Macaca mulatta: one gene and its partners. The protein of the gene in region 4 interacts with the protein of the main gene of each other region in a biochemical or structural test. Links are inferred from orthologs where the notes say so. Each region holds a gene or a part of one and is shown on either strand. Other genes may lie near its edges.

Region 1 (5,046 bases), on a different chromosome or scaffold from region 4:
CATGCTTGGCTAATTTTTTTGTATTTTTAGTAGAGACAGGGTTTCATCATGTTGCCAGGCTGGTCTTGAACTCCTGACCTCAGACAGTCTGCCCTCCTCGACCTCCCAAAGTGCTGGGATTACAGGTTATGAGCCATTGTGCCTGGTCTGTTATGAGTTTCAAATGAAATTAAATAAGATAATTTATGATAATTGTGATATAATTAGGTCTTTTGTTCTTAATAAGCCCTCAGTAGTGGGTAGCTTTTATCATCATTAACTTTTATAATCTAATTATACTTACATGCAAAAAATAAATTTTAAAAAGTTGAGCAAATATGGAATTAGCCACAGCTTCAAATATATGTGTCTTTTAACTCTGCTCTTTTATTCCTTGAAACCTGCAGCTGGTCATCAATGCTGCTTTGGGATTTGACACATTTGTTGTCATGAGACATGGCCTGAAGAAACCAAAGCAGCAGGGAGCTGGGGACTTGTGTCCAAACCACCCTGTGGCATCTGCTGACCTCCTGGGCTCATCACTTTTTGCCAACATCCCTGGTTACAAGCTTGGCTGCTATTTCTGCAATGATGTGGTGGCCCCAGGAGATGTAAGTGGATTTCTCTTTAGTTCCAAATATTTCCTATCACCAACTTGTGCGCTGAGGCAGACAGACTCGGCCCTTTCATTTATGACTATTTAAATATTATCTTTTAACAAAGAGAAGAATTCTCCAATTTGGGGAGGATGGCATTATCTCATTATGAACCTTGACTGGCGTCATCAACTGTACAGCTGTTCCTTGTTCACCAATATAAACACGGCTACAAACCCTATTTTTGGAAAGCTTATTGAGGAAACCACAGCAGACTAATCCCTGGTAGCACTCAGTATTGTCTCCTGTGCTTCTTTTAGTCAAGACAACATTACAAATTAGGAGTCTAAAGATCAGATTCCATCAATGCCTTGACACTGCCTCCCAGGTAATTCCAAAAAGTCTCTTAGGTTCCCTCTGCCTCTGCAAAATAGGACTGGTGTGTAGGCTTGTCAGATTTAGTAAGTAAAAATACAGGATTCCCAGCTAACTTTGAATTTCAGTTAATAATGAATTTTTTTTTTTTTTTTTGAGACAGTCTCGCTCTGTCACCGAGGCTTGAGTGCAGTGGAACGATCTCGGCTCACTGCAACCTCTGCCTCCTGGGTTCAAGTGATTCTTCTGCCTCAGCCTCCTGAGTAGCTGAGACTACAGGCACGTGCCACCACGCCCAGCTAATTTTTGTATTTTTAGTAGAGATGGAGTTTCACCATGTTGGTCTGGCTGGTCTCAAACTCCTGACCTTGTGATCCCCCTGCCTTGGTCTCCCAAAGTGCTGGCATTACAGGCGTGAGCCACCATGCCGGGCCAATAATGAATAATTTTTTAGTATATGTTCCATGCAATATTCAAGACCCACTTATACTAAAAATTTATTTATCTGAAATTCAAATTTAACTGAGTGTCCTGTATTCTCCCTGGCAATGCTAATAGGGGAGGGAAGAATACTTGCCCTGTCAACTCACAATTCAGTGGGTCAAGTGCGACAGTGCTTTGAACAGCAAGACTACACTGTACAAATTAAGATTCTATGGCTTTCAGAACTTCACACAAGTCTGTCTGTCTGTAGGGCTGTTCCTTTATCAGAACAGATACAAAATTTCCAGTGAGGCAATGCAGAGATGTTTTCTCTAACCTCCCCTCTATTTTTCCTTTGTTTTAAAATTTTTCACTTAATAACTCATATCTCCTTTGGATGACTGGCTTTTATGTCCTCCCAATATAAAGAAAAGAAGATGACCATTCTCTTATATGAAGAAGGATGGCTTGATGATCTCTGTCATGGTGTTATAATATACAGCTGGTCTTGTTATTTAGTTATTGTCAACAAATACGATTAGTGGTCCCTTGCAGTAAAGTCCCATTTGCTCATAAGGTAAAATTTTCATAGAGTCAAAAATATTCCTGACAACCTCTTTAATTTGCCCAGAGTGGGATGGTTAGACTCTCTTTGGTTGAACCAGCAAAGGCTTGTGTTCACAGCCATGTTGTAGGAAAAAAAAAAAAAAATACTTGTAGTAAACCCTAGAATCACCCAGAGAGGTGATGCCCATGTTGTGAGAGGAACATTGGAACTGAGGGCTGCAATAATAGTAAATTATTGCTCCCATCTCACGGTCACTTTGAGGTGTTAGTTAAAATGGCAGGGCAGAATCATTTGCACTATTCTAATCATTGTTCCTTTCTGTGTCTCTGTCACTTAACTACCAAGCACAGAACTGAATTGAGTCACATAAAGGAACACATGATGCAGTTCCTTTATATGAGGCAGCTAAGCCCTCATTTTTGGTTGATATCCCCCAATCTGTTTAAGCTGCTGATCCTTTTTAGCATATTACCTCATTTAGTTACCTAAATTGTGTATTTTGTTTTCTTGATAATCTCAAGAAATGATGTACTTGAGGCTGGATGTTCTTTGCTAACAATGAGCATCTGGTTATAATTTAAAGCTTTGTCACAGAGGATTTCATATTTGAGACAGCTAGAGTTGAATGGAATAGAACATTCAGCACACACCAATGATTGTTTCTTTGCAGTCAACCAGAGACCGGACCTTGGACCAGCAGTGCACTGTGAGTCGTCCAGGATTGGCCATGATTGCAGGAGCCCTGGCCGTGGAATTGATGGTATCTGTTTTGCAGCATCCAGAAGGGTGAGTTTGCTAGTGGGAGATGAGCATTTAAACAAAGCTTTTGTAGGCAGTCATTCATCAATGTCTCCTGTAGCCTTTTCTCAGTCTGACTTTTCAGAGAATTTCACTACTTTATCTACCCTCAAAAACACAAGACTAGAAAAAGCAGGTCTGGTTCTTTGGGCTGAGATAACTTGGCACGTTTCCTTTGTGGCCACATTTCTGCATCCTTTTGGACAAATTATGGTTTATTTTATTTTTTCAACGCTTATATAGGGCTTACTTTGTGCTAGGCACTGGTCTAAGCACTTCAGAAATATTGCCTCCTTCAATCTTTTTTTTTTTTAATTATTATTTTTTTAATGAGACAGAATTTTGCTGTTGTTGCCCAGGCTGGAGTGAGTGCAATGGCACGATTTTGGCTCACTGCATCCTCTGCCTTCTGGGTTCAAGTGATTCTCCTGCCTCAGCCTCCCAAGTAACTGGGATTACAGGCATACGCCACCATGCCCGGCTAATTTTTGTATTTTTAGTAGAGACGGGGTTTTGCCATGTTGGTCAGGCTGGTCTTGAACCTCCGACCTCAGTGATCAGAGGTGATCCACCCGCCTTGGCCTCCCAAAGTGCTGGGATTACAGGCGTGAGCCATTGCACCTGGCCTCCTTTAATCTTCATAGCAAACCTGTTAGGAAAGAACTATTATTATTAGTCCCGGTTTTGATGGGGAAATCAAGGCACAGTGAGGATAAGTAAGTGGCCAAATTAACATAGTAAATGGAAAAGCCAGCGTTTAGCTCAATGTGGCTCCAAACTATGTTTAATCACTTTGTTATGTTGTTTGCAGTACAGGCAGCAGAAAATTGAATTTTTGAAAGATTTATTTTTCCAATTCTCAGAAAGTCAATATGCAAATTAACATGAATATTCTATTTATTGTGTGACTCAAAGCTTTCCTCAGCAGTTGAAAATTGTGACTGTATAGGTAACTAGTATGGGTACTCTGAGATAAACGAAAAGCAGGACTTTTTTGTCTTCCTCTTTGTCATCCACCTTAGCTATCTGTCATTTAAGTTTATTGCCATTCTCTGACAGGAAGTATTTGGGACAAAATCTTTGAGAGCTGACTTTCTGCTTCCTTGACGCTGACCATCCGTCTGCCACATTTGCCCTGGTCATAGTTTAAACACCAGGTCCTGTGTCACGTCTCTTTGGTGACAGAAGTATCACTCCATTGTTCAGAGAGTAGTGCATTAGTTTTGCCCAATTCATTCTTCACTTTTATTTCCTGCATTTCATTACCATTTATATCAGCTCAAGAAGTTAAGGTTAGAAAATTTTCCTCTTCAAATTTTCAGTGCAGAAATGTTCTGTGATGTTTGATAAGACTATTTCATAGTAAGTGAGTTAATGTTTATTGGCCTCTGATATGCCAAACATTGCACTGGCAATTGGTATAGTAGATTCCTCATTTATTAATCAGAGCTCCCTCATTCCTACTTTCTAGATGATGGATCTGAAGCACAGAGAAGTTAGGCAACTTGCCTATGGTCACAAGCTCAGGTCTTTCTTACTCCAAACCGTGCATTTTAAAATTACTCTTCTTGCCCTTTGTCCCAGGGAAATTATTTTTTTGCTAACTTACACTGCCCAGCAAGGGGCATTTTAGTTATCCTTATGAATCTTATGTAGACTTCTGCTTAGATCATCCTCCCATGTGTTAAACTTGGATTAAATGAGCAGCTCTGATTGTTTCCTGTCCTCAGGGGCTATGCCATTGCCAGCAGCAGTGACGATCGGATGAATGAGCCTCCAACCTCTCTTGGGCTCGTGCCTCACCAGGTTAGTGATTTGGAAGTGAAATCACAATTCTTTTGGTGCAGGGGGAAGGCATGTGGGGTCTCTTTGCCATTCCATCTGCCCAGCCCACTTCATATCCACCCATTTACCCTGCAGCTGGGATTTCAGTGGGAGAACTTTCCGACCACCCAGAAGGTATTCCATTCTGCAGGATAGTGATGGGAAGAAATCACAAATGAGAAGCATTGCCTAGAGTCTTTGATGCGTTTTGTAAACTGACTAGAGGCCTCATAATGCAATAGGAACAGAAAAAAAACGTGCTTTGGAATCAGCCATACAATGATTTAAATCCCAGCCCTGCCGTTATTAAGATGGCCTTCCTTGGCCAAGTCACTAAACTTCTCTGAGGCTTAGTTTTCTTATCTATAATGTGGAGAAAGTAATACTGACCTCACCTGGTAGTTGTTTGGATTATGGATGGTTGCTAGAAAGGGCTCAGCAACAGTATATATCACAGGCTCTCAACAAACAATACCTGCTGTT
Region 2 (5,693 bases), on a different chromosome or scaffold from region 4:
ATGGAGTCTCGCTCTGTCGCCCAGGCTCAAGTGCAGTGGCACGAACTGCAACCTCTGCCTTCTGGGTTCAAGCGATTCTCTCACCTCAGCCTTCCGAGTAGCTAGGACTACAGGCGCCTGCCACCACGCCCGGCTAATTTTTTTGTATTTTTAGTAGAGATGGGGTTTCACCATGTTAGCCAGGATGGTCTCAATCTCCTGACCTCATGATCCGCCTGCCTTGGCCTCCCAAAGTGCTGTGATTACAGGCGTGAGCCACCATGCTTGGCCTATTATTTTTAATATATAGACATATTTTTGAGACAGAGTCTCATTCTGTTACCCAGGCTGGAATACAGTGGCATGATCTCGCCTCACTGCAACCTCTGCTTCCCTTTGTTCAAGCGATTCTCCTGCCTCAGCCTCTGGAGTAGCTGGGACTGTTACAGGCACGTGCCACCACGCCCAGCTAATTTTTGTACTTTTAGTAGAGAAGGGGTTTCACCATGTTGGCCAGGCTGGTCTCGAACTCCTGGCCCACCTCAGCCTCCCAAAGTGCTGGGATTACAGGCATGAGCCACCGCACCCAGACTATTTTTTAAAGTATTTTTATGGGAAAATTTAAATCTATACAAAAGTAGAGAGAATATAATGAATCCCTATGGACCTATGAACTAGCTTCTTCCACAATTATCAACTCAGGACCAATTTGCTGTAACCAAAGGTTTACAGCAATACTGTTTCCCTACTAGATTATTTTGAAAGACATCCATCCTTTTGCCCATTAATAATTGAGTATGTACCTCTAAAAGATAAGAAGTTTTTAAAAAACAGTGTAGATATCATTATAATGTCTAACAAGTTAACAATTCCTTAATCGAATTTCTATTCTGATCATTATGTTTTTAATTAAGGATTTTGTTTACTGATAAATGGTTACGTTTAATTGGTTTTTATGACTTTATGAAAAAATAGCTTAGGTTGAGAGAAACAAGATTAAGTCCCAGGGATTTACAGTGTGGTCTGTGGGGCCAGGGCCAGAGGCTGGGAGGGAGGCGGAGGAGCATACAAACTGGGAAGACTTAGTTTGCAGACATAGTTCTGGCCCATTACTAGACATAAAACTGTGAGCAGGTCAATTTACCTTTGAGCTTCAGTTCTTTAATCTATAACAGGTCTAATATGTCTGCTCTGCCTATCTCACAGTGTTACCATAAGGATCAAATTAAAAATGTGTACACAAGTTCTTTCAAAATGTCATTCAAATATAAAAAATATTATAATGAAGGTCAGGCACAGTGGCTCATGTCTGTAATCCCAGCACTTTGGGAAGCAGAGGCAGGCAGATCGTTTGAGTCCAGCAGTTTGAGACCAGCCTAGCCAACATAGTGAAACCTCATCTCTACAAAAATACAAAAATTAGCTGTGTGTAGTGGCGCAGGTCTGTAATCCCAGCTACTCAGGAGGCTGAGGCAGGAGAATTGCTTGAACCTGGGAGGCAAGATTGCAGTGAGCCAAGCTCATGTCACTGCACTTCCGCCTGGGTGATAGAGCTAGACTCTGTCTCAAAAATAAAATAAAATAAAAAACTGGCTAGGTGTGGTGGCTGATGCTGGTGATCCTAGCACTTAGGGAGGCTGAGGCAGAAGGATCATGAGCCTAGGAGTTCCAAGACCAGCCTGGGCAACAAAGCCAGACTCCATCTCCTTAAAAAAATTAAGTTCAATTAAACATTCTAAAAGATAATAAACCAGTCTTTAGAACCATAAACCTGTAGTGTTTTCCACAATGTAACGCACTGCCCGGTAAAACACTCCAATTAAGACTGTCATTTAAAGGACCCTGAACTCTGTCAAGATCAGGCACTTTTTTGAAACCCTAAGACAATTATCCCCCAATTTTCTCCATTCTTTGTTTCTACCAAGAACCAAGTTCACCAGCAAAATAATACTAGTCTCTTAACAACAATCCTGCTGACATCTAGTATTCATTCATACGACATGTAATTATTGGGGTCTTTAAAATTTGAACAGAACCTTTGTCAATTCCCCAAGACCTTAGGCAAAAAATCAGGGAAACGAAGTAACTCTGTCTGCCAGAAGTGGATATTCTGAAACATCACTTTCCAGCTTCAAGAAACACACTTCCCTGCTTGTGAAGGAAATGAATCTTCCTCTCTTTTTCTCAAATTACACAATTGGAAATCAATTTAGATACTCTGGAGCTCCTCCAGCTAGTGGGCCAACTAAGAGAAAACAGGAAGTCAGAGATTCTAGCTTAGCTGGATCATATCCAGGTCTTCATAAGGAACTCTCTTTCGCTGACATGTAAAAAAATTCTTTCAGCAAGAGCGTTAATCTTGAACGTGTGTAAACACCAAAGCTATGGTTAACCCTATCTCACCCTTAGGTCTAAAGCCAGTATAGTCAGATAGCTGGGTCCTAGGCCTTCAGCTTTCATAACTGGCATTATTGTAAGTCCACGCCACTGACTCACCTTTGCTTGGCACGAGTTAACTTTTCCTCCACGTCGATTTTTTTTTCACCCTCAACAAAATCCCTTTAATGAAACAGACCTGGCAACCTGAGCTTTGATTTCTGTCTCCACCAGAGGTCTGTACAAGCCAAGTTATCCAAGCTTTAAAATGTGTGATTTGAGGCTGGGAGTGGTGGCTCATGCCTGTAATACCAGCACTTTGGAAGGCCGAGGCAGGAGGATCGCTTGAGCTCAGGAGTTCACGACCAGCCTGGGCTGGTCTTTCTCTGAGAAAGCAAGACTCTGTCTCAAAAAAAAAAAAAAAAAAAAAAAGTGTGCTCTAAAAGCTGGGTGTTTGACAAAAAGGAAAAACAGTGCCTTTCCAAAACCGAAGGTCCCTAACCAAGGAGATCTCTTTAAGGTCTCGAAAAAAGGAGGATGGAATGAAAAGGATGTGTAAGTAGTGTCATTTTTTAACTTGCAGAGTTCATCCTAGTCTTCCAGCTATCGTTTCATAGCACTCAATGTTCCCAAGACAGTGTCACCACCCCGACTTTCTCTCGTTTTCTTTGCCCAGGCCCTCATTCCACTGGGGAGTCGCGGCCTTCCATAGGTAGAAGCCGATGTTCTGAACCACGGACTCTCCAACTCTCCGGCGCTTTTCGCCCACTCGGTCCCTCTGAACACGAAGGGCTCTCTCATCCTGTCACTAAAAACATTAACTGTCCCGAGACACGGAAAAAGTCGCCCCTCTTCTTTGCAGGATTCCTCCCTTGAACTTCCCCAAACCCTCTCAGTGTGACGTGACCCCACCCCTAAGTAACCTCAGCCGCTTCCTTACCAGCTTCCCGCCCCCGGGGGGCGCCTGCCGTAGGCCAAGGCAAGGACCGTCCGCTGCCAGCTCTGCCGCTATCCCTGTGGGGTGAATCTAACATGGCGGATAAAGACAGTAACTAGTCCCCTGTTTCGCCGAGTTTTCGCCAAGATGATTGGCTCTTACCACTTGTCCCTCAAAACGACCACCCCATCGATTGGTGGAGATTGCGTCGACGGGGCGGGGCAGAAGAAACCTGAAGCCGCACAACAATAACAAACATTGGGGCCGAGGGGCGGAACTACGAGTGCGCAGACGTGAGCCAGAGCGGATTTCCCCTTCCCTAGGCAAATTCGGCGCCTACTGCGTCCCCCGCAGGTCACTGACCTTACAGGACGACTTGCCCAAGACTCGTGGGGCTGGATGGGAATTGTAGTCTTTCTAGGAGTTGTCGGTATCTCTTTGGCCTAGTCTCTGCTCTCAAGATACGAAAACATAACAACACTCCAATCCACAACTGTTGACATGTATAAGCGCGCGGAGGTCTCCAATCTATCCACTGGATTTCCGTGAGAATTGTGCCCGCTTCGGTATTGGATGTTCCTCTCCATAAGACTACAGTTTCCAAGGAACAGCGTGGCGAAGGCCTTTCATTCCGCAACGCATGCTAGAAATAGTAGTTCTTTCCCTCCACCCCCAACAATCCTTTTATTTACCTAAACTGGAGACCTCCATTAGGGCGGAAAGAGTGGGGGAATGGGACCTCTTCCTACGACTGCTTTGAACACTATCTTACACTCATATTCAGGCCTCGGGTAGCGATTCTGATCTTTGTACAGCGATTACTGTGACGTAATAAGTCGCAACTGGAAGCGTAAAGGCGAGAGGGCGGGCGCTTTATGGCAAACTCAGGTAAAATTCTTCCTCTTCCGTCTCTTTCTTTTTACGTCACCCGGGGCAGACTGGGTGGCCAATCCAGAGCCCCGAGAGACGATAGGCTCTTTCTGTCCCGCCCTTCCTCTGTGTCTTGATTTCCTATTCTGAGAGGCTGTTGCTCAGCGGTTTCCGTGGCAACGGTAAAGCGTGGGAATTACAGGTAAATTAAAACTGTGGAACCCCTTTCCTCGCTGCCGCCAAGGTGCTCGGTCCTTCCGAGGAAGTTAAGGCCGCGTTGGGGTGAGGCCCTCACCTCTTCCGGCAACTAGCACCCCGTCTGGCGGCCCCAGCCCCACACTCGCCCGCGCCATGGCCTACGTCTCCGAGCTCGCTTGCATCTACTCTGCCTTCATTCTGCCCGACGATGAGGTGACCGTCACGGAGAGTAAGATCAATGCCCTCATTTAAGCAGCCGGTGTAAATGTTGAACATTTTTGGCCTGGCTTGTTTGCAAAGCCCCTGGCCAACGTCAACACTGGGAGCCTCATCTGCAATGTAGGAAAAACAAAAACGTGACTGAGCGGCGTGAGCTCGCTGAGACTTTCTGGACGGGGGACAGGCCGTGGGGTTTCTCAGATAACTGGGCCCCTGGGCTCAGGAGGCCTGCACCCTCTGCTCTGGGTAAAGGTAGAAGAGCCCCGGAAAAGGGACAGGGGCCCAAGAGATGCTCCGGGGGACAGGCGGGGGAGAGTGAACTTCCGAAGCAGGCAGATGGGTATTCTTTAGGCGGGGTGGGGGGCGCGGAACCTGAGAGGCGTAAGGAGTTGTGAACCCCCTGGGGAAGGGGGCAATTTGTAGGTCGCGAGGGAAGCACTAAGGATCAGGTAGGGGGCACCGTGTGTCCGAGGGGGAATCCTCGGGATAGGAACTGAAATGTGCCTTGAGGGGGACACCATGTGTATAAGAACATCAGCTGGTTGCCGGGGACGGTGCCTCATGCCTGTAATCCCAGCACTTTGAGAGGCCAAGGCGGACGGATCACGAGGTCAGGAGTTCGAGACCAGCCTGACCAACATGGTGAAACCCCGTCTCTACTAAAAATACAAAAATTACCCGGGCGTGGTGGTGCGCGCCAGCTACTCAGGAGGCTGAGGCAGGAGAATCGCTTGAACCAGGGAAGCGGAGGTTGCGGTGAGCCTAGATCGCGCCATTGCACTCCAGCCTCGGCGACAGAACAACACTGTCTCAAAAACAAACAAACAAACACCGGCTAGTATTTATGAGAGGATGGGCCCTTGCGGAAGAAGAGGTGCTAGGAATATGTCTGGGACGGGGAGGAGACAGGATTTTGTGGGAGGGAGAACTTAAGAACTGGATCCATTTGCACTATTGAGGGAATAGCCAACAGGGAAGTAGAGGAGCGTCAGTAGTAACAGATGCTGCCGGCAGGGATGTGCTTGAGGAGGATCCTGAGATGAGAGCAGGTCACTGGGAAGGGTTAGGGGCGGGGAGGTGTTGATTGGTGTTGGTTTCAGTTTTATGCATGAGA
Region 3 (5,719 bases), on a different chromosome or scaffold from region 4:
GCCACCTCGCCTGGCTAGTTTTTTTGTGTTTTTTAGTAGAGACGGGGTTTCACCGTGTTAGCCAGGATGGTCTCGATCTCCTGACCTCGTGATCCGCCCGTCTCAGCCTCCCAAAGTGCTGGGATTACAGGCTTGAGCCACCGCGCCCGGCTGGAAGGCTAAGTTTTTATGTATCACTAGAATGTTTGTATATGTCTAGCAACATTCTTGAGATACATGGCTCCAAAAAGTCTGCGAAAAAAGGGATACAGATTTTGAAATTGAATAGTTGAAGTAGCAATGTCACAGAGTAAGCACAAAGAAAGAACAAATGACGAAGAACTAAGTCCATGAGACATCCTTAGTTATAGAAGAAAAAACCTTCTTGAATGAATAATAGTTTCAACCCATTAGTAGGATATAACCATGTTTTCTATTCCTTTAATAGATTACAGGTGCAGGCCAGTAATCCCAGCTACTCTGGAGGCTGAGGCAGGAGAATCGATTGAACCCGGGAGGCGGAGGCTGCAGTAAGCCAAGATCATGCCACTACACTCCAGCCTGGGAGAGACTGAGGCTCTGTTTCGCGCACACACACACACACATGCACACACAAAGTGTATTTAGAACGAAGACTAAAATCCTGGTCTGACTTCTAAACCCATGCAATTTCTCCTGGGCCTACTCATTGAATTATTTCTAAAGGGTAAGAGAAAGGAGGAAGAACATTGCCCAAGGCTTTAAGATAGAGAATTGCTGGTTCTGTTTATTACGTGTGGAGAAAGACATGAATGATAGATAAAAATGCAGACGTAAAAGTGTTAAACAATAACCTGGTCTGGACAGTGTTTCCAGGTGGATATTAGAGAGAGGTGACTATGGACACTAATGAATTGAAACATGAAGCCCTTACAAAAAGGGAGGGCAGACTAGGCTACATAACTACCTTTCTCATCCGCCCAGTAACTTGTCTTGGGATGTGGAATGATGCAACAAACGAAACTTTCCTCTCCTTAGACTACTGTATCACAGAATCCTGGTAAACCAGTTGGAAGCAAAGAGGTGAGGGCTGGAATGGCATTCAAGAAGAGCAAAAGAAAATGAGTACTACCGGCCGGGCACGGTGCCTCACGCCTGTAATCCCAGCACTTTGGGAGGCCGAGGCGGGCGGATCACTTGAGGTCAGGAGTTCGAGACCAGCCTGGCCAACATAGTGAAACCCCATCTCTACTAAAAAAAACCCAAAAAATTAGCCGGGCATGGTGGCGCGTGCCTGTAGTCCCAACGACTCCAGAGGCTGATTCAGGAGAATTGTTTGAACCCGGGAGGCAGAGGTTGCAGTGAGTCGAGATCGCGCCACTGCACTCCAGCCTGGGCGCCAGAGCGAAACGCCATCTCAAAAAAAAAAAAAAGAAAAAGAAAAATGAGCACTACCATCCCAGGATGTCAGATCAACGCACAGCCAACCAACCCATCTTCCTTCAAAAGCATCTTTCACCCCTCTCTGCCTTCTCCATCCACTCTGAGCCCCTCACCCTCATTCCACGGATCCCAGTCTATTGATTTACTACTTATCCACTTCCTGTCCCAAACTACCTTGACTGTCTCCAGACTGGCCCCTTCCAGCACCACAATAAGCCTACGGCCTCCGATCTTGTTTCCTGCCCCTAGTCGGGGCCGCTTGGGTGGCACAGCATCCCAGTCCTGTGCCTGCTCCCCACCGCTTCGTTCACGAGGCTTGAATCCACCACTGGGCGCGGCCATCTTGCAACCAGACCGGAAGTTGCGCTAACGCTCTTAAATGAGAACAGTGAGGCTTCTAATCACAAATTTCCTTCCGGCTGCCATTTTGAAAGTGGGCTTGTAAATGGCGATGACTTGCCGTCTTGCGCTGCCCTCCCTGGGAGGGCAGCCCTCCAGAAAGGGGCGGGACTTCCGTATGCGCTCTTCCTGTGCGCGAAGTTCGGGTGGGTAGTGGGCTAAGGGGGAGGGTTTCCAAGGGAGCGCACTTCCGGTGCCCTTTCTTTCGCCAGCATTACGGGCCCGAACCCTCGTGTGAAGGGTGCAGTACCTAAGCTGCAGCGGGGTAGAGGCGGGCCGGCACCCCCTTCTGACCTCCGGTGCCGCCGGCCTCAAGATCAGACATGGCCCAGAACTTGAAGGACTTGGCGGGACGGCTGCCCGCCGGGCCCCGGGGCATGGGCACGGCGCTGAAGCTGTTGCTGGGGGCCGGCGCCGTGGCGTACGGTGTCCGCGAATCCGTGTTCACTGGTGAGCAACCTTCGCCTGCTCGCCGGACGCTTCCAGTCCCTCCCCCAAACCCCTTGCCCTATCTCACCGGTCCCCGCGCCCCACCACGAGCCTAGCTAGCATTTACTCTGAGCAGCGGCCTGGCCTGATCACCACCCCTCTCCCCACAGTGGAAGGCGGGCACAGAGCCATCTTCTTCAATCGGATCGGTGGAGTGCAGCAGGACACTATCCTGGCCGAGGGCCTTCACTTCAGGTAATGGCGGGCAGAGCTTACTGACCCTGACCTTTCACCCTTGACGCCGACCCAGCAATGGCTGTAGTGGGACGTGCAACAGGATTCAACGCTGCTCTTTTCCCTCCCTCCTCATCCCTGCTCCTAGGATAGTGGGTGCTGCGCGAACCTCCAGCAGCATATGAACTGTTGTTTTCGAAAGGGACAAGAGAATCTCTCCTTGTCGGTGGTCATGGGGAGGAGCAGGCCAAAAAACGCCTGGTGAGGGGAAACCGGGCAAAGCTAGTGAAACTGCGGCTTTTTTGGGGGAGGGGGGCGCGGGAGTTTTGCTGTGTCGCCCAGGCTGGAGTGCAGTGGCGCGATCTCGGCTCACTGCATCCTCCGCCTCCTGGGTTCAAGCGATTCTCCTGCCTCAGCCTCACGATTAGCTGGGATTACAGGCGCCCGCCACCACGCCCGACTAATTTTTGTATTTTAGTAGAGACGGGGTTTCACTATATAGGTCAAGCTGGTCTCGAACTTCTGACCTCAAATGATTCGGCCGCCCAAAGTGCTGGGATTCCAAGCGTGAGCCACCGCTCCTGGCCGAAACTGCGGCCTCTTAATACCTATCCCTGTCCCCTCCAGGATCCCCTGGTTCCAGTACCCCATTATCTATGACATTCGGGCCAGACCTCGAAAAATCTCCTCCCCTACAGGCTCCAAAGGTAGGTCTGAGCACTTGGTAATCACATGGCAGGTGGGAAGATCAAGGGAGCTGGCAAGAAACCCCAGGTGAAGATGGTAGTGTCAGGCCTTTAGGCCTTAGTTTCCATGTCTGCAAGAACTGTAACAAAAATACCTGCCTCCCGGGGTCAAAGCAGCACATTCTGAACACCCTGTGTTTGCGTGCTTTCTACTGTCTCATCCCTGACATATTCAATAAGAGTATTGTTTGTCCTTGTCTTATTCACTGCCTAGATCAAAGCTTTGTTTTAAAGCCTTTTTTTCTAATTGCTTGACTTACTATATCTACAGTTACATCCACTAGTATACTCTGTTCTGGAGAAGTTTGTCCCTACCCTTGACTAGTTCACCTATTCTCTCCTTCTAGACCACACATAAAAGCCATGCCTTTGAGTTCCCCAGACCTCTTCCTCCTCCCCACCCACCCCCCCCCCGACACACACACACACACACGCATACACCCTGGGTGAGGTAGGTCACCTGTAACCTGTAATGTACTTCTTTGTACTATACCTAGTGCAGGTGGCTTATTCATGTATTAAACTGCTGGGCCCTGGAATACAAGATTCATTAAGAACATTTTTGTCCCCCAAGTCCTTACAGGAGACGTGATTACGGTACAGCGTGAAAGCACCCACATTAGAGGTTGCATGGAGTACAGAGGGGGAAAGAGCAGTCAGCCCTGCTGGTGACGGGGTTGCAGTTCCAGGCTTCACAGTGGGTGAGGGTGCATTTCACCTGTGCTGCCTCATGTGTTCCTTGTCAGCCTGATTAACTCTCCTCCCCCCAGGGCAGTGCCAGGCTGTACATCATTGCACAGGGCATATAGGGAGGAACATGAAGGAGAAAATGCTTGGGAAAGGGTGTTTGGCCTTGACCAGCCACTGCTGACCTCAATCTCAGACCTACAGATGGTGAACATCTCCCTGCGAGTGCTGTCTCGACCCAATGCTCAGGAGCTTCCTAGCATGTACCAGCGCCTAGGGCTGGACTACGAGGAACGAGTGTTGCCGTCCATTGTCAACGAGGTGCTCAAGAGTGTGGTGGCCAAGTTCAATGCCTCACAGCTGATCACCCAGCGGGCCCAGGTCTGACTCCCACCACCATCTGCATGGTGTCAGCCTTTCCCTTCTAGGCCCAGAGTACTGGGAATTAGGAAAGGCAGCTTAATAGAAGAGGATTGTCACCCTAGTGCCATTTCCACCTAAAAGCTGTGCTAATTGCCACTGTGAGATAAGGAGAGCCAGCATTAGAACTCGGTAGCACTTGGTATTAGGAAGCACAGAGGAAAATGGCCAAGTCTTGGCTTTTCCTGCACCTCTTTCAGCAGAGAGGCTTATGTTATAGGTTTGCCTGACAGGAAGCTAAGGCAGCGCATATTGTATTGAGAGAGTGAAGGATTCGGGGTCGCAACCCAGTCCCCTCAAACCACCCTTCCCCACCCCTGCCCTCAGGTATCCCTGTTGATCCGCCGGGAGCTGACAGAGAGGGCCAAGGACTTCAGCCTCATCCTGGATGACGTGGCCATCACAGAGCTGAGCTTTAGCCGAGAGTACACAGCTGCTGTAGAAGCCAAACAAGTGGGTGAGTCGCACGAGCAGTGGGGTGAGGGCTTCCGAGATGCAGGAGGAGGAAAGACTCGGTGGACGGGGCTCCTGACCCAGCACACGGTCTCCCTGACTCTCTCCCGCTACAGCCCAGCAGGAGGCCCAGCGGGCCCAATTCTTGGTAGAAAAAGCGAAGCAGGAACAGCGGCAGAAGATTGTGCAGGCCGAGGGTGAGGCCGAGGCTGCCAAGATGATATCCTTCTGCGTGAGAGGTCTCGGCCCAGTCCCTAGGGCACCTGAGTTCCCCATCCTCCTTCACGGGCAGGCTGATGAGACTAAGGCGAATGCGACTCCGTGCTCTCTGGCCCTTGGCTCCTTGTTGCGGGTGGGGGCTACAGATGAGATCTGAAATCTTAGCGGGGGTACCTGAGCCCTGACTCCCCACTGTAAGGCCAGATCAATAGCACTGCTGGCCTTGCCTTCATTTCTGCTGCTGCCCCTAGTTCCTGGCAGCAGCCTGCAGGGAGGCCCACAGGTGGGGTCCAAGGTAGAGCGGGCACAAGCCACCTGAGCGCAACCTTGGATCTGACAGCCCAGAGGAGGACTGTAGCAAGGGAGTGTGGTAAGGACGGGGCTAGGGATTGAGACCTGCCCTTGTGTGAACCTTAACCCTCCTCACCTGGGAGAAGCACTGAGCAAGAACCCTGGCTACATCAAACTTCGCAAGATCCGAGCAGCCCAGAATATCTCCAAGACGGTGAGTGTGTCAGCCCAGCGTCTCTGATGGGGCTGCCTTGAGAAAGTGCTTTCAGTTAAGGCACATTGAGGTGAGGGAATTCGAACCTTGCTTGTTTGGGTTTCTACTCAGAGTGGTTTTATGGCCGGCGCAGTGGATCACCTGAGGTCAGGAGTTCAAGACCCACCTGGCCAACATGGTGAAACCCCACCTCTACTAAAAATACAAAAGAAAACTAGCCTGCTGT
Region 4 (5,114 bases):
TTCAGGATTCTATTGGGCTTCACTGATCAGGATTAGCAACTGTATTAACATCCTCTATGTCCTTAGTTTTTTTGGTTGTTCCGTTTATTAGTTATTCAAATAGGTCTTATGTCTCCCACTATGATGGAGGACTTGGCAATTTCTCCTTGTATTCATATATATATATAGAGAGAGAGAGCAACATAGACAGAGTCTATATATAGACAGAGTCTTGCTTTGTCGCCCAGGCTGGAGGGCAGTGGCGCAATCTCGGCTCACTGCAACCTCCGCCTAGCAGGTTCAAGCAATTCTTGTGCCTCAGCCACCTGAGTAGTTGCGATGACAGGCGTGCACCACCACGCCCGGCTAATTTTTGTATTTTTAGTAGAGACAGAGTTTGCCACGTTGGCCAGGCTGGTCTTAAATTCCTGGCCTCAAGTGATCCGCCCACCTCGGCCTCCCAAAGTGCTGGGATTACTGGCATGAGCCACTGCACCCAGCCTATTTTCAGCCTTAAAAACCCTGGAACATAGAAGTTCAGAACTTCCCTCTCTTCACAGAGCTACTCGCATCATTTCATGGTGATCCTTTGTCCCCAATGTCTTCTGCCTGAAGGCCTATTTTGTCTGAGTGAATTTCTATAGGTACATATTTTGGTTAGTTTTTCTCTAGTACACCTTTTTCCATCATTTTACTTTTGGTGCCCTTAGATTTTAAATGTCCTCTTGTAAATAGCATAGAGCTGCATTTTATTTTTTCTTGGCCAATCTGGTCATCTGTGTTTTAAGAGGTGAACGTAAACCACATTTTCTACCTCTGGTTTTGTACTATATATTTACCATCCCTTTTACTTTGCTTCCTTTTTCTCCTTTTCTGGCGTCCATTATAGTTTGTATTCTTTTGATGATCCCTCTTAAATATCTGAAATACACACCTGACTTTACAAAGCCAGAGAATGCTTAGTCTCTTTATCCCCCTCTCAAATCGAACTTCCTAAAACACCTTAACTCTGATTGCCCTCTCAGTCTCCCATGTTCTTCTGTCTCATGCATCTTGTTTCTGTGGCCCACAGATTATCCATTATTCATGTTGCATATTAAATACTTGTTTAGATTTACTGACATGTTTACTAATTTGCTCACCATTTTTCCATCTAATTTCTTCCTTTTGGGTTCCATGTCTTTGATACTGAAGTACATTCTTTAAAAATTATTTTGGCGGCTGGGCGCAGTGGCTCACGCCTGTAATCCCAGCACTTTGGGAGGCTGAGGCGGGCGGATCACGAGGTCAGGAGATCGAGACCATCCTGGCCAACATGGTGAAACCCCATCTCTACTAAAAACATAAAAAGTAGCTAGGCGTGGTGGCAGGCGCCTAATAATCCCAGCTCCTTAGGAGGCTGACTGAGGCAGGAGAATCGCTTGAACCAGGGAGGCGGAGGTTGCAGTGAGCTGAGATCGCACCACTCTAGCCTGGCGAAAGAACGAAACTCCCTTTCAAAAAAAAAAAAAAAAAAAGATGTTGATCTTCGGTCTGTGCCTTCTGCTCTGGATTTTAAGCATCATTTCTGACAGCTCTCATTCAGGAACTGCCTCTGCAGGTCTTTCAGTGCTCGCCTGTGGAGCTCTGCTCCGGCCTGCGAGTTCTCCTGGCGTTGCCATCCGTGGCCTTTTCCTTTTAATTCTCCATCACCTGTCCTCTGGTAAGCTGCTTGCTATCAGCCTCCAGGTCCACGATTTCTCTTCTGTTGTCCTGCTCTGCCTTCTTGCCACATCCTCTGAGACCTGAATTTCGATAGCTCTACTCTTCAATTATATTATTCTTTTTCAAACCTGGGCGTTCATTTCTAGCGTCTTGCTCTATCCTGTGTCTGACTGTGCCTCCCGCACCTTCTCCCTTCTCTTGCCCTGAGCCCCCTTGAAGGCGCCGGGCCTTTGGCTCCCGCTGTTTCCCACGGTGCCCAGAGCCGCGGGTCAGTCCTGACACAGACTCGGTGAGGGAAGGAAGTGGTGCCACGGGGCTGCAGCCTGGCCCACCCGCTCCATCGGCCCAGGGCGGCCCCACCGCTCTCCCGGCCTCACCAGAGTCGGGGCCACGGGAGAGGCTCCCGCGCTGCTCATGACGTCACGGGACTGTGACGCGCCCAGGAGCCCCGCCTCTCGTGTCCCGGGCCGGGGACCCAGGCTCTCTGCGCCGTGACGTCACGGGTCCGGGCGGGCGGGTTGTGCGTCGGCCCAATGGGAGCTGCGCGCCGGCCTCCCCTTTAAGGAATGTTGTGACCTGACGTCACCGGGCGAGTTACCTCCCGCAGCCGCCGCCGCCGTGCTCAGCGCGAGCGCCGGAGCCCTTGAGCGCGAGGCACGGAGCCCCCGGAGCCCCCAAACCGCAGCCACATCTCCGCGCCCCAGAGCCCCGGCCTGCGCGCCCAGCCGGGCCCGCGCGATGCCCTCCGACCGGCCTTTCAAGCAGCGGCGGAGCTTCGGTGAGGCCCGGCAGGCGAGCTGTGAGCTCGGGGTAGGGGTGCCGGGGAGGGGGGGTGCCCGGCCGACCCAGACTGCCGCAGGTGACGTCAGCCCCGTGACGTCAGGCTTCGGCTGGACCCTCGGGCTGGGAGGCTGGCTCCGGCCTGGGCGGGGGCTGCCTGCTTCCCCACCACGATAGGTGCCAGGGGCTGTGGGGCCTGACGGCCCCGGGGGCGGGGGCTGGAGCTGGGGCGTGGCCGGGGGCCGCCCCTTGGGGACAGGCAGGCGGAGACGTGGGGAGGACCTGGGCCGGGCCGACCCGGCCTCACGGTCTGGCCGCTGTCCGCAGCCGACCGCTGTAAGGAGGTACAGCAGATCCGCGACCAGCACCCCAGCAAAATCCCGGTAAGTCCTGCACCCCCAGCCCTGCCCCGGCCCCGCCTCGCGCGTCCCCGACACAACCCCCTGCCCGCCCGCCCTGCTCCCAGGTGATCATCGAGCGCTACAAGGGTGAGAAGCAGCTGCCCGTCCTGGACAAGACCAAGTTTCTGGTCCCGGACCATGTCAACATGAGCGAGTTGGTCAAGATCATCCGGTGCGTGGGCAGCCGCTGCCAGGTGGTGGCTTGGGTCGGGAAGGGAGACGGGTTCCCGCCGAGAAGGGGTCAGGGGTGATGGGACCGGTGGTGGACCCCTGTTCTGGGGCGGCTGGAAAGGTCAAGGTCGGGGCTGCAGTCGGTGCCGGGTCAGAGGTGACAGGTGGGGTGAGGATGGGTGTGAAAGGCTGGGAATCATTCTGGGGGTCAGGGCTACGTTGCCCCGTAGCCAAGCCCCTTACAGCCACATACTCTCCCGCCTGCCTCAGGCGCCGCCTGCAGCTGAACCCCACGCAGGCCTTCTTCCTGCTGGTGAACCAGCACAGCATGGTGAGCGTGTCCACGCCCATCGCGGACATCTACGAGCAGGAGAAAGACGAGGACGGCTTCCTCTACATGGTCTACGCCTCCCAGGAAACCTTCGGCTTCTGAGCCAGCAGTAGGGGGGTCGGCCTGGGAGTGGGGGGGGGCCCGGTCAGGCCCTGCCCAGAGAGCTCCTGGTTCCTGAACTGAGCTGCCTCTGCCGTGGTGGGCTGGGCAGGCATGTGCCCCCCTAGTCAGAGGGCAACCCACCTACTCTGCCCCTGGGTGGATCCTGGGCCGGTTGTGTTAGGGTTGTCCCTCTGGGTGCTGGCTGGGATGGGGGAGGGTTGGGAGCAGCCCCCAGCACCCCGCTGTGTGGTTCATCTTTTTTTTAGGCCCCTGCCTGACTGCCCATCTGCCCCTCACCCACCCAAGGCTCTGCCCACGCCTGGACCTGCCCACCCCTGAAAGACTGGCCCCTGGCTCCCCGCCCCTCGGTCTCCACATGGTGTATGGATCTGTGGTCATTGTCCCTCTGCAGAATAAAGATTGCTCAGGCCTGCCTGGCCCCGTGCCTCCAGCTGCTTGCTTGGGAGTGGGAAGGGTGCTGGTAGGGCTGTCTGCACCATCCCCGGGCTCTGGCGCACAGACTTGTGTTCTGTGGCCTCAGTGCTTGCTCTGGAAACCCACACCTGTGTGTAGTGTTCAGAACATTAGGGTCCAACCCTCTAGGAGTGCAATGCAGATGTGGTCTCAGGGTAGACTTCATAACAAAAAACATTTATTAAGTAGCTACAACCTAACAAGCCCTGCTCACCTGCCTCTTCTCCTTCCTGCCTGGGAGGGGGCTCCTTGGTGTGCAGAGCCACGAAGTGGGGGGGTCCAAGTTGGGGAGCTTCCAGTTCTTCCCCACAGGCCTTACTATCAGCCATGGGTCTCTTTTGGTACCAGAGACTTGTGACCCTGGACTCGAACCTCTTCTGCCCGAGCACTCGCCTGCTGGCAACTCTGACTGGAGGGCTTGGCCCAGCTTCTGGCCCCTCAGCCCCCTGAGGTCCACAAAGCCCTGTGCCAGCCAGGCCTACTTGAGCACAAGCATGGCCTCTGTGCCGTCCTTGGCGGTCAAGTAGAGGCCGTGTGTGAGGTAGTACTCCCGCCGCAGGAAGGCATAGAAGTAATCAGAGATGAGCAGGATCTGGGGGGAGAGAGAGGATATGAGGTGCTGCAGGGTATCTCCCCGTGAGCCCAGGATCCCTGAACTGCTAGCATGTGTTGGAAGACAGGAGAGCCCCTGCCTGGCTCTGGATCACAATCACTGGAGAGGCCCTGCCCAGGGCCCCCACCTCAGGGCCCAAACTTGACCCTGCAAGGTCTGTTGGCCTCTCAGAGGCTGTCCAGACTTCCCCGGCCCCCACCCATGGTCTACACCTCCATCACAGGCTTTGGTCTCAAATGCCAGCCTGGTGCCTGTGCAGCCAGAGGCCTCTGCCCCCTCTTCCCACAGCCACTTCCACCCCAGCCAGGTCCACATCAAACTCCTCACCTTCCCTCTGTCAAATACACTTCTCCCACTGGGCACCCATGCCCCCATCTTCCAGCCAAGTGCCCAGGCCACAAAATTGCCCTGACACTTCTCTCATACATCAAGCCACCATGACCTGTCAATTCTACCCCTTAAACTCAAATCCACCCTTTCGATCCAGCCCCACAGTCACTACTCTGGACAGAGCCACTGTCATCTCCTAAACAACAGCAAAGCTTGGTCCCTGGGCTCC

What was found.
Region 1: the proteins of MAP1LC3A (region 4) and ATG7 form a complex in vitro, tested with the Homo sapiens proteins (2 studies listed by BioGRID, with this or other methods). The link is inferred for Macaca mulatta from reciprocal best matches to the Homo sapiens genes MAP1LC3A and ATG7.
Region 2: the proteins of MAP1LC3A (region 4) and NBR1 form a complex in vitro, tested with the Homo sapiens proteins (2 studies listed by BioGRID and IntAct). The link is inferred for Macaca mulatta from reciprocal best matches to the Homo sapiens genes MAP1LC3A and NBR1.
Region 3: the proteins of MAP1LC3A (region 4) and PHB2 form a complex in vitro, tested with the Homo sapiens proteins (2 studies listed by BioGRID). The link is inferred for Macaca mulatta from reciprocal best matches to the Homo sapiens genes MAP1LC3A and PHB2.

Annotation. Positions count from the first base shown.
Region 1 is NC_133407.1:150,208,752-150,213,797, forward strand, and holds part of ATG7 (ubiquitin-like modifier-activating enzyme ATG7), read left to right. Parts: intron 1-386; coding exon 387-590; intron 591-2,611; coding exon 2,612-2,727; intron 2,728-4,469; coding exon 4,470-4,545; intron 4,546-5,046. UniProt on the Homo sapiens protein: E1-like activating enzyme involved in the 2 ubiquitin-like systems required for cytoplasm to vacuole transport (Cvt) and autophagy.
Region 2 is NC_133421.1:67,506,617-67,512,309, reverse strand, and holds the start of NBR1 (next to BRCA1 gene 1 protein), read right to left. Parts: upstream 3,397-5,693; 5' UTR 3,296-3,396; exon of another isoform or gene 2,476-3,295; intron 1-2,475. UniProt on the Homo sapiens protein: Ubiquitin-binding autophagy adapter that participates in different processes including host defense or intracellular homeostasis.
Region 3 is NC_133416.1:7,941,084-7,946,802, reverse strand, and holds the start of PHB2 (prohibitin-2), read left to right. Parts: upstream 1-1,958; 5' UTR 1,959-2,123; coding exon 2,124-2,250; intron 2,251-2,399; coding exon 2,400-2,484; intron 2,485-3,090; coding exon 3,091-3,170; intron 3,171-4,092; coding exon 4,093-4,277; intron 4,278-4,643; coding exon 4,644-4,773; intron 4,774-4,885; coding exon 4,886-4,989; coding exon of another isoform or gene 4,990-5,008; intron 5,009-5,058; exon of another isoform or gene 5,059-5,327; intron 5,328-5,415; coding exon 5,416-5,493; intron 5,494-5,719. Other genes in the region: EMG1 (ribosomal RNA small subunit methyltransferase NEP1), read right to left, coding at 1,576-1,743.
Region 4 is NC_133415.1:87,343,325-87,348,438, forward strand, and holds MAP1LC3A (microtubule-associated protein 1 light chain 3 alpha), read left to right. Parts: upstream 1-2,266; 5' UTR 2,267-2,421; coding exon 2,422-2,461; coding exon of another isoform or gene 2,462-2,482; intron 2,483-2,790; coding exon 2,791-2,846; intron 2,847-2,929; coding exon 2,930-3,036; intron 3,037-3,305; coding exon 3,306-3,468; 3' UTR 3,469-3,908; downstream 3,909-5,114. Other genes in the region: GPI-anchor transamidase component PIGU, read right to left, coding at 4,421-4,534. UniProt on the Homo sapiens protein: Ubiquitin-like modifier involved in formation of autophagosomal vacuoles (autophagosomes). While LC3s are involved in elongation of the phagophore membrane, the GABARAP/GATE-16 subfamily is essential for a later stage in autophagosome maturation.